Linked DNA regions of Coturnix japonica. The protein of the gene in region 2 interacts with the protein of the main gene of each other region in a pairwise test. Links are inferred from orthologs where the notes say so. Each region holds a gene or a part of one and is shown on either strand. Other genes may lie near its edges.

Region 1 (5,704 bases), on a different chromosome or scaffold from region 2:
CTTCCTCCTTCAAATTCCTCTCCTAAATCCTGTACTTTGCAGTCAGCCTTCCAGGCCCTCCTGGCCTTCAGTCCACAGCCCACAAGCTGCAATACACTACAAAAATAGAGGAGCTGGAAGCGATACCAAGGAAAGCAAGCATAATTTTGGGAGCTAGTTTCTGGTTGTGTCAGCAAAGCCAGGAGACACTCCCAGGCAAGCTATGCTGCAAAAAGATACGGCAGAAAAAATATCCTTGCAACCTTCTTGGTGATGGCTGGCAGACATAGAGTCTTTATGGAGCTGAGGCAAATCCTTTCCTCCTGTTTTGTTCCACTGAGAGACTGCTTGGCTTGGTGCAGAGATCCATGAGGGCTGGTGGGTGCAGAGGCCAGCAGATGTCCTCCACAGATGCATCAGAGGTCACCCTCAACCAGTTCACAGAAGACATCAGTGAGTTACCACAGATTAGTATAATTTTCCCAGAATTATATCCCAGGCACACAGTGCACCTTCAGAAGTGCCTCTGTTCACTGACCCAAGTGTCAATGGGTTTTCCTGTGTTGCTGCTGTACACCACTGTATGCAGCTGGCTCTGCACAGCAGCATATCTAGCCCTCAGCTTTCCTTTGCAGAGTTTTGCTGTTTCTGCCTGTGCTGCAGGCTGAACTGCCTCACCATGCAGAGAAAGCTTTCCTCACCCAACACAAAGCTCCTTTATTCACACGGGGTTTGATGTGCAAGGGGCAGCTGACTCAGGGACAGGAGAATCAGCAGGAGGCCTTCAGATTCCTTCAGACACCAGAGTCACCTCTGACCTGACCATGGAGTGGAGGGAGCAGAACTATCCTCTTGCTGCTGCCAAGAATGACTCCCTGCCACCCCTGCCAGAAGCCCCAGCTGTCTGCTGTTCAGCTGCCGGAGCAGCTTTCCCCTTGCAGCTCCTGAGCTCTTGCCTGCACTGTGGAGCTGGATCAAAGTGTGACTTCAGACAAAACTGTCGCAAATTTCTCATCAAAGGAGGCCTTTGGAAAAAGTTTGTTGTTTTTATGGGGCTGCTGACAAATTTATAGGGGTAGCTGAAATTCTGGCTCGGTAGGCTGCAAATGGGTGCAGGATTTAACCCAAGCGCTTAAAGCATGCAAGGCATCGAAGATAAAAACTAGTCGGTAATACACTGAATTTAATGTGATCTGTTGTCACTGCATGCAGAGAATATTATTCATTTTTTTTCACGTGGAAATCAATGAAAACCTTCACTTTAATATCTCCCTGAACTGCACGGTGTGCGGACTGGTGTGGCATACAGATAGAGGGAAATGAGGTCTGCCCAGGACACACGGGAGATTCACTCAACCGCTGTATTATTACACATATCACAGCCAAGCACTACAGAGTTATAAGCTAACAGAAACACAAGAACTTTCTGCAAGATCCTTAGAGGAAAAGGCATTGAAGTTATTGATTAAGATAGCAGACAATATACTGATTGCATGTACAGTACAGTGGCAAAGTGATTTTATACAGTACATGCGGGGACTCTGGCTTAAATTGAGAATGAGAGATTTTATTACTTGTACAGTTGTGCAATAAATTATTGGCAAGTGGAAGCACAGATGGCTTTCCCTTAAGATCAGGCATCACATGCCACACATTATCTGGGAAATTGTCATTTTAAAAATAACTCTAGAACAAGTGCCAAGCTGAGAGGGATATCGGTGGCTAATAAACAGACACAAACAGCAGTGCCCAAAACCAAAATGCGTTTGAATTAAACTAGGCAGAGAGAGAGTGTGTACAATTAGTACCTATTCTCTAGCAGTAAAAATTAAAGCTTTTCATACTGTAATTCTTCTGTCTCTTTCTTATTAGAAAATTCAGATAGTGGCTTTGGGGCATATTTAAGCTACTGGATTGAACACTCACATTAAATTCTTGGTTCCTAAAAAATTCATACTGGAAGAAAGTTAAGTGCAGTTATTGGTAGGCAGTGCTTTCAGCTGGTTTGTAAGGCAGTGACATGCTTACATCCTGAAGGATGTGAGCCAGAGAGCAGCCATCTCTCCTGTTGTCTCTTCTAGGAACTTTATGTGCTCCATGCCTTGGGAAGGCCAGCTGCTGGAGCCTGCTGAGACACAGGGGCAGCACAGCAGATTACACACTGCAGCCTCAGCTCTGTGCTCAGCACCGTGACTATATAGCACAGCAGTAGTGGCTGTCAGTCTGGGCAGCAAGTTTGCTTTGGCCCTGTGAAGATAAGGGCTGCTCAGATGGTGCGTGCTTATCACTTGGCTGCTCCCAGGGGTGAAGGCTGCCATGTGCGAGTGAAGAGAGCCAGGGCTCTGCCACTGCCCCCCCCCGGCCCCTGGAACTGTCACCTGTCCCAGCCTATCCTCCTCTCACAGCTTATATGGGCACGGCAGAATGGCATCTTGTGACGCCGCGCTGCTAAAAACAGCCCCGGCTCCCTCCGGCCCCTCGTTCAAACAATGTCCTCCAGTGAGCGAAGCCCACAGAGCCTCTGATCGCACTGAAGCTTGGGATTTATTGCAAGGAAAATTCACCCAGAAACGGAGCAGTGACGCCGTGATCCTGAGCGTATGCCCCTGGAAAAGCTAGGGATGAGCACCTCTCTGGGCTACAAGACCTTCTCCAAAGAGCAGCAGACCATGGATAACCTGGAGAAGCAGCTACTGTGCCCCATCTGCCTGGAGATGTTCAGCAAGCCGGTGGTCATCCTGCCCTGCCAGCATAACCTGTGCAGGAAATGTGCCAGTGATATTTTCCAGGTAGGTCCACTCCTGTGGAAAGCTCTGAAGATTTGAGCAGCGCTGGGTTGAATGAATGGAAAAGCTGAGTATCACCCGGCTCAGCTGATTGCTTTTCATAGATGTTAAGGCTGTTTGGGGGGGCTGCCCTTGTGCTCTTGAAGGAGCTGCATTATGTCTAGCACAGATCATTGCAGCACCATGAGCCTCATCCAGGTGGCTTCAGCGGTCTCTCCAACAGACCTTTAGATATTTACTTTGAATGGCTTGACTCAGAGTTCCTTGGGTTGGTAGGGCAGAAAAGGGAAGAGGGAGAGATATGCCCTGATTTCATCAGATTTTGGTCTGTCGTGCTCCAAAAATGATGCCTTGTTATCAAAATACGTTCTGGTAAAGCTGCACGTGGACTTACTCACCTCTTCTTGTGCTGCTTGGCAAGAACAGGCCTCGAACCCCTACCTGCCCACCAGGGGAGGCACGACAGTGGCTTCGGGAGGTCGGTTTCGCTGCCCTTCCTGCAGGCATGAAGTGGTCCTTGACCGGCACGGAGTGTATGGGCTGCAGAGGAACCTGCTGGTGGAGAACATCATTGATATATACAAGCAGGAGTCCACGAGGTAACATGGGAGATCTGCCACAAAAGCAGACATCACTGGGATGGCTGGGGTGTCCTTCTGGTCATTATGTTTGTCAAACAGTAGGTTTATTTGTTAATTTCTCTCTTAGAAATACAGAAAGGGGTTGTGTTGCTGTGCATGCCTGCCTGCTTGCTGTGCAGTGAAGTCAGCTCTGAAAGCAGTATCCAGATGGATGCTGGATTTCCCTGCTTCCACTTATAGAACACAACTCTGTCATTTTCATTCCCTTGAGCAGTACTTACCCCGTATAGTCGGCAAGAGTATTCTCATGAATGAGGGAAAAGTAGCTAGATTCATGTTGTTTATTTTATGAACCACTCAAACAAACGTATTTCTCTTTAACCTGTGTATTCTCATGCTAAAGAAGGGAATGGGATTTCAAATCTTGTTAGAAAATCCTAAGGGATAAAAAAGGAGATAGCTGAATTGCACCCAGAAGATACCCAGGATCATAACATTACATTAAAATACAATAAGAAATCTCAACTTCCGTCAGCTTGGGAGAGGAACACATGAAACTGAGTCTTATTTAGAATTCCACAGAAGTGAAGGAACAGCTAGAAATAATATGTATCAGAGCTATATGGTGATGTGTTAGAATCCCAGGGCAGAGGAACAGGTTAATCCTAAAAATTAAGATTTCTCCTAATGTTAAGTTCCTCAAATGCATATGTCCATATCCAGCAGTGGAACAATATCTCATCTGTCTGCCTATACTGGGTTGGGCACAGGCTACCACTCTAGGGAACATAATAGGAAGGAGGCAAAGGCTGGTCAGAGGCCACTAAGCAAGCAGCTCTCACCCAGGGATGCAGCCTGTTGTCACCACTATGCGCATGTAGGTCCAGGTTTGTAAGGCAGGGTATTTGTACACCTGAAGGAAGGTGGAATCCTGGCCTCCTTCCACAAGCAGCTGGGCTTTGCAGGGATAGCAGAGGTGATATCACTGGAGCTGGTGGACTCAACCACTGGACCCAGCTCCTTGGGTGGCTTAGGGCACTTCCATCTTCCTCCAACACAGAGGTTGTTTTGGGGCACAGCAGTGGCTCTGGCTATTCCTGTCTAAGTTCTCACAGAACAGTTGTAGCTGCACATGGATTTGAGCTCCAAAACACTAGAGAGCACAAAGTTGGCTTAAAATTGTCCTTTCTGCTGCCCTTAGCACTCCATGGCCAGGGAAGGTCATCTGTCCTTGTGTGTGTCATTGATATCCAAGTATTATTTGAGTCATGTCTGAGGAATCTCTGAGGAAATGAATCAACAGAGTGGTGGATTTTGCACTCAACCAAATAAGCTGGACACTTGTGGCCTCATGTGCTATATTTCTTTTTCCAGCTCAAGGGTTGTATTAGCGCCCCACCAGACTCTGAGAGGAATGTTGTCCTATTTCCCAACCCGAACCTCCCCTGGCATAACTGAAGGCCATTACCTCTTGTCCTATTGCTGTTACCTGGGAAAAGAAGCTAAGCCCCACGTTGCCACAACCTCCCTTCAAGTACTGTTCTCTTCAGAACAGTGAGGTCAAAAATACAACATCATGAATAAAAGGGGAAAATCGGAAACAAATATGAACATGAATGATGTATTTGCATAGATACCTGCCTGGAACCCTTGTTTGCTTAACCTTTTCAGGGGTTTATTTAACCTTGATGAATGTCCTTAGAATTAAAATAATTATCAGGGTTATGTAGCAGCGACAATGCATAACAGCATTATCTAAACTATTTGGCACTTTGTAGGCTTCAGCTGCTTATCTCCCTCTGCCTCAAATTCCTCGGCCTCTCATCAGATGGGGGGGCTCTACCCAAGCTCTCACAGGCAGCCCCTCTCATTACCAACGATTACATCCTTTTTTGTCTTTTATCATGCTGCACATCAGACTCCACACAATGACAGCATAACCTGTTGCCCGATTTAGTATCTATTAGCAAGACCAGGGGAAAAATATTCAAGCAGGATGTGACTTTAAAGCTTTAAAGGGCAGTAACATGCTGAACCCAACAGAAATAAAGTTAACTAAAATATTACCCCAATGTTTGAACGTCTGTAGGCCACTGTTAACCTGAACTTTCTGAGGAGCATCAGGGGGCCTGCTGCTACCAGGAAAGGGTAGCTGCTGGAGATTGCAGCTCCTCAGTCTCTTCCAGCCTCTAATGAGCTCCACCAGCTATTCCTGAACAAAGGGTGCTTTGGTTTCTGTGTCCTCTGGATCCAGCTCCAGGGTTTGTAGAGTGCTCCTCCCCTGCACCTACAAGGGACAGTACTAGGTAAAGGCTGGCCCTGCTGTGGAGCAGGAGGTGTAGTACAACAGGGACCAAG
Region 2 (5,814 bases):
AGGTTTATCTACCTTAAGGCTGTTATAGCTTGGCTGTCTGGTTTTACAGCCTGTGTTCCAAATCCTTTTGAATTATCACCTGTGAAAAAGCCAAGGACGTGTTCTCAGGAAGAAAATCCCATATGTAAACCAGCCTAAACAAAAATACACGCTGTTGTCACTCCACAGTTTCAGGAACTTTGTTTACAATTTTGTTTTCTTGGAGACCATTCTCTCTTCTCCTGGAGGGAATCTATGAGACCATGGAACCTGCGCTGACAAGCAGCCTATGACAACAATCTGACACTTGCAGCACATGAGCTAAATGTAGAGCCCGATTAAGTTGGTTGTGGTTACTAACAAAACAGCTATTTCTCCCAGAGAACACAGGCAGACTATTTCCTCTTGGAAAGAAGTGGACAGAGTGTTCGAAAGCTGAAAAGGTCACAGCAAAACAGAGGCACCGATGCATAGTGCTGCACAAAGGATGAGATCCTGCTTGGTGCTCAAAGCACTCTCAACTGATGTAAGAGAAGTTCAGGGCTGGTGAATTTAACACTACTGAAAACACAACCAGTTCTGGAAGGATCAACATTTTACATAGCTGCAGCACGTAACTCTTTGTAACTGACATAAAAAGCTCAGGACTAAGTGGTGCATAGACATGGTCTTCCCTTCCCAGCCCAGTCTGAGTACTGCGGCTTGTACTTGCTGCCACTCAGACCTTGATATCTCTTCACCCAGAAGGCCATTCAAGAGCAGAGCAGAGTTCTTACCCTGAACAAAAGGGAAAGCAATTGCTCTTATTCTTCCTGTTCTTTGCTGCTAAGCCGGTCAGTCACAGTACACCAGATGCTTCACTAATACAGAAGGAGATATGCTGTCCACAACAGGGAGAAAAGCATTTAAAAACATTCATTTCTCTTGTTTAAATAACACTTCGTGGTTTACACAGGTAGGATGAGGAATGAAAATGTAAGGAATCCACAGCAAAAGAGCTCGAATGTGGCAGCAAGTCCCTTGTTAAGCCTGAAAAACAGCAGGAATGGTGAATTTGGGGTCTGGAAAACACAAACACCAATCCATGAGGAGACAGAGACCAGCACCTCACTCCAAACACACTCACGGCACAGACACCAAGTGCTTTCAAACACTACTGACTCGATCACGTTTTGAACTACTGACCTGCATCCTATTACCCAACTCCGAGCCGCTTCGTTCCCTCACCGAAGTCCAGAGTTTAGCAATTTCAGCTCAGACTGAGATGGCTCAGACAATAACAAACTCATAGAAATGGAATTGGTGTGGTAGATCCACTAACATGGCAAACCTTACAGACTTGGGCACAATGACTGCTGTGTGGCTGTTCACTTTAGACCCACCAGAAGAAGATACTTGCTAATAAGGGGATCAGAGAAGAGAGTAAAATTGCAGCTTAAGTCCCACCGAGTCTCCGTATCTCAAACACAAGGAGTGGAGAGTTTGTTCATTCTTTAGCCTATAAAGTCCGATTCAGGACAGATTGCTCATTCTGCCTCATACACAAAAAAACGGGACCATAAAGAACTATTACAGGCTCTATGCAAAGTGTCTGTTTATCAGTAATCACCACAATTAATCTGGCTGCATCCACAAGGCTCCTGATGTACAATGACAGCTCAATCTGCAATATATTTGGAACAGTGACAGTAACATTCCTAGCATACACATATTGCATCAAGTTCCACAACAGTGTAACTAAATGACAGACCTTTTGTTTCAGGACAGGCTTAAAAGGAATAACAGAATTTCAGTACTTAATATTCATCTAAGCGATGTTTAATACCTCATAATGAGGCCATCTCTCTGTCATGCATCAGTACTACTGACAAGGAAACACAACAAAAACAAACTGCCAACCAACTGAATACAACAGCACATAGAGATGCTGCCAGCAAAACAGCAAGTCCACTTTCAAGTTTGATCTAAAAACATATACTTCACTTTTAGAAGTGAGGAGGACTTCTTACTCCTGGAACTGGAATCTGTCTGCAGAAATCAATTTGTCTCACTATATTCAGTCCTCTTATTCATTTCCTCAGTGCCACTCGCAGCACATCAATATAAACACAACATCTGTCCACTTCTCTCAGCCAGCAGCCTCAGAAACTTTCTAATTTTCTTCAAGGAATATTGACTACAGGAACACCCAGAAATGCAGGATTTATTTCTAGGGAGCTACATGAAGCAGTCATTGATATCCGTGCATACTGCAAGCTCTCAAGGACTGCAGTCTCAGTTGTACTGTTGAATAAACAGCAATTGGCTCAGTTTAGTCTTTGGGAATTGTCCTAACACAGCCATTACAGAGTTTGCAAGTCACAGTCATGAAGTCAGCAAGATGCACAAAGGAAGCTGCTGTCAGCAGCAAGGTTTTCCAACAGAGCAGAGCCAAGTTTTCAGTTGCACAAGCGTACACAACCCTGTATCCACACGTACAGGACACAAGCCACCTACTGAACCAGACAGCTTGCTTCTTGTAGCAGCAACCTGTGCCCTTTGCGGGGGATGCTTCAGAGCACCTCCATTTACAACGTGCACATTCTGCACATACACCTTTCTTACACTCCAGTTTGTGTCTCTTCTCCATCACTCATCTCTCCTTCTGATGTCACTGGTCTAAAACGATCAGAAGTCTCTGAGATGAGAATCCCACTGGAGGGAACCCGAAATCTTACCTTAGATAATAAAAAACAGAAGGATGTGTTTTTAACATGGACTGTTTGTGTTAACACTGAAACAAGAATAAACACCTGTGTATCTTCTTTCACAAAGGGCAGACAGCTCCACAGGAGGTGGCTCAACGTGGTTATACAGAGCTGACCTAAGAAAAGAAGTCACTAAGCCGCTGCAATACAAAGCACAGCAGGATCAACACCTTCCTTCAGCCAAGGCAACAAGCTGAGCCTTTCCTACACTTTCCTTCTGAATTAAAGAGTTAATTAAAGTTAAAAACAAATGCTAGAAACTTTCAAATCTGCGCTCAAAGACTTAGAAAGCCCCCATTGACCCCTTAGAACTATCATCCCAAATGGAACAACTTCTATAAACCGTAACAAAAGCCATTAAGTTATTAAGCACATCAACCCTGCTTACCTGAGCAGAAACCCGAAGATAAAGCTACACTACGCTGGTTCACCCCTCCAAAAGGAACCAACAAGACTCGTTAAGCATAGAACGCAATTAGGTCTGATGGGGCAGCTTTAATCAGCCCGCCTGCAGCCAGGGCTGCTGGATGACACTTGAGAGCTGAAGAGCACGGTAAAAATAACCTCCCTACAACGAGGGCTGATGAGCACCAGACAGCTGAGTCACCTTTACAGCCAATTTCTGATTTTCTGCATTAGAAGGAATTACTGAACAGAGGTGGGAAAAGAGACGGCAATCTCTGAGGCGCCTTTGGTTGGATATTCCGTACAGTGACCCCAGACCGACGCCATTTGGACATCAACGCCAAGTGCTCGATCACCGCCGGGAAACCTCAGCTTCACGTGGAGCTGAACACAAACCCCGGCTCCGTTTATAAAGCAATTCCCGAGCACCTGCTCCTCAAACACATCCCGGCCTCCGCGAGGAGGTCAGGGGGAGCAGGGCCCGGCGCGACCCCCGCGAGGGGCGGCTGAGGGGAGGAGGGGGCGGCAGCAGGTGGAGGAGCAGAGGAGCGGAGGGGCGCGGGCCCCGCTGCACTCACGGGAGAGTCGTAGGAGAAGGCGCACTCCGTCTTGTAGACCCGGTCCCCGGACTTGGGCACGCGGATGGTGGGCATGTAGGGGACCAGCAGCTCGCCCAGGTCCCCGGCCGCCATCTGAGCGTCGCCGCCGCCGAACAGCGCGGCCCGCTGCATGACTCCGGACGGCGGGAGGGACGGAGAGGGCAATGCGGGCGGCGGGGCCGGGGCAGGGCGAGGCGGCGGCGGCGGGAGCCGGGCCCGGGGGAGGAGAGGGGGAGGGAAGAGGCTATTTATAATCCAATGGCAGCGGCACCAGCTGCGGCGGCACCGGGGGGTCCCGGCGGGGGCGGAAGGAGGGGCAGAGAGGCACAGCGCTGTCCGCCCGCCCTCAGCCGCCGGGAGGTGCCCGCAGGGGATCGCGCCGCTCGGTGTCACAACGATGGGGCTCCGCTCTGCTGCCCGGAACGCCTCGTGCTCTTCATCGGTCTCTGCCGTGATTGACAAAGCGTTTATAAACAAGCAGCGCTGCGCTAAGAACAGGAGCTAATGTGGGAGATCGATGCGGGCGAAAAGGAGTAGAGGAAGCGCTGACACAAAGTCGATCCCAGTGTCTGTTTGGCGGCGCTCCGAAGCAGGTAACGAGGCGGGCTCCGCTGAACGCAGACTGCATAACGCTGCTTCACGTTATTTGCTACGAGTTTTAGCAGTTGGAAACCACGAGATCCGGGGATTGCTGCAGAATTTGGGCTTCTCCGCTTTAAAAAGTGGAAGCGGACAATCCTGGGTCTGACCCTGCAGGACACGCTGCCCTCACCCTCCTGTGGGATTCCCAGCCTCAGGGCTGGCCGTTAGAACCGAAGGGAACACATCCCTCTAGCGGCAGAAGGCTGACAGCTAACAGTAACATCCCCACTACCTCAATGCTTCCCAAAGGCGGCAGAGAGAAATAGGGGGAAAACAACCCCACAAACAGAGCGATGTAATAGATTCCAGAGGGACCTCGTGTGTAATCTACACTGAGAACGGCCTGGTTTGAAACAATGCACAGAAGCCACTCATCTCTGTGTTTCTATCTTTAAGAAACATCAGGCATTTCATCTGATTAATACCTTTAGCAGCGATACAAGTTGAACTTCCACACAACTCCTTCCAAGATATCAGAATGGACAAACACTTACTTGTGGTTTTTTAGTCTTTTATTTCCATCATTAAACAGCAGGATGTGTGCTCCACAGATAAGCCACAATTTGTTGGTATGCATCAGAAGCTGCACACTACCTTAAACCTGCTCAGTTGTCAGGTGTTGCTTTCATAGAATTATCAACAAGATTTTTATCAGGTGTTTCGTATTGATACCACGGTCCATCTCCCCTCTGTCTCATCAGTCTGCGTGCCTCCTGCTCCATCAGCCTGAAAGGAAGAGATCAGAATTCACACTGATCGTGCCATCTATTGGTTTTGATCAGACTTGTATCAACGTTTAACATCTGGGCAATACTGAGAGCAGCAACGAGTTTAGCATCTACTGTTCATAAATTTTAATGAAACACAGGTAATAAGAAAATACAAAGAGAATGTTATTTTACAAGACTGCCCTTGGATTATTCCAGTGCTGGTACTCAATACCAAGAAGGCAGGGATTATAGACACTAACTTCCACTGTGGCATCAGCCAATGCAGCAGGCAGGCAAGGTCAAGTGATGTATAAGCAAGCAGGTACTCCATGCCAGCATCCAACTAAGAAAATATAAACTATACTGTGTAGCAGCATTTCAAAACACCTTCACTAACGTACCTCATTTCAGCCTTCTGTGCTTCAACGTGGATGAAAGCCATCTCTTTCTCATAGTTCTTTTCAGGTGGGTCAAGGAGGTAACGAGCAATCCAGCGACTTATAGGGTGCTGGAAAATAGAAAAGCAGAAATGATTAATGTAATTTCCAAATAGAAATGCCATTATATGGCGCATTCCCAATCCCGAAGACGTGATCAACCTTACGGGTGCTGTCATTCAAGCAGTAATAGGAAAGTCAAAAACATGCTCAACTATTTGTAAGATCAGAACATTAAAACAGGAGACACTCAGTTTATTTTCTTTCTTTGAAATAAATTCCTTTAAGCTGCCTC

Evidence for each region.
Region 1: the proteins of USP13 (region 2) and TRIM55 interact in a two-hybrid assay, tested with the Homo sapiens proteins (2 studies listed by BioGRID and IntAct). The link is inferred for Coturnix japonica from reciprocal best matches to the Homo sapiens genes USP13 and TRIM55.

The regions. Positions count from the first base shown.
Region 1 is NC_029517.1:104,129,838-104,135,541, forward strand, and holds the start of TRIM55 (tripartite motif-containing protein 55), read left to right. Parts: upstream 1-2,424; 5' UTR 2,425-2,579; coding exon 2,580-2,768; intron 2,769-3,191; coding exon 3,192-3,364; intron 3,365-5,704. UniProt on the Homo sapiens protein: E3 ubiquitin ligase that plays an important role in regulating cardiac development and contractility, muscle growth, metabolism, and fiber-type differentiation.
Region 2 is NC_029524.1:15,337,131-15,342,944, forward strand, and holds the start of USP13 (ubiquitin carboxyl-terminal hydrolase 13), read right to left. Parts: upstream 3,934-5,814; 5' UTR 3,863-3,933; coding exon 3,710-3,862; intron 3,602-3,709; exon of another isoform or gene 3,115-3,601; intron 1-3,114. Other genes in the region: NDUFB5 (NADH dehydrogenase [ubiquinone] 1 beta subcomplex subunit 5, mitochondrial), read right to left, coding at 4,978-5,098, 5,484-5,590. UniProt on the Homo sapiens protein: Deubiquitinase that mediates deubiquitination of target proteins such as BECN1, MITF, SKP2 and USP10 and is involved in various processes such as autophagy, endoplasmic reticulum-associated degradation (ERAD), cell cycle progression or DNA damage response.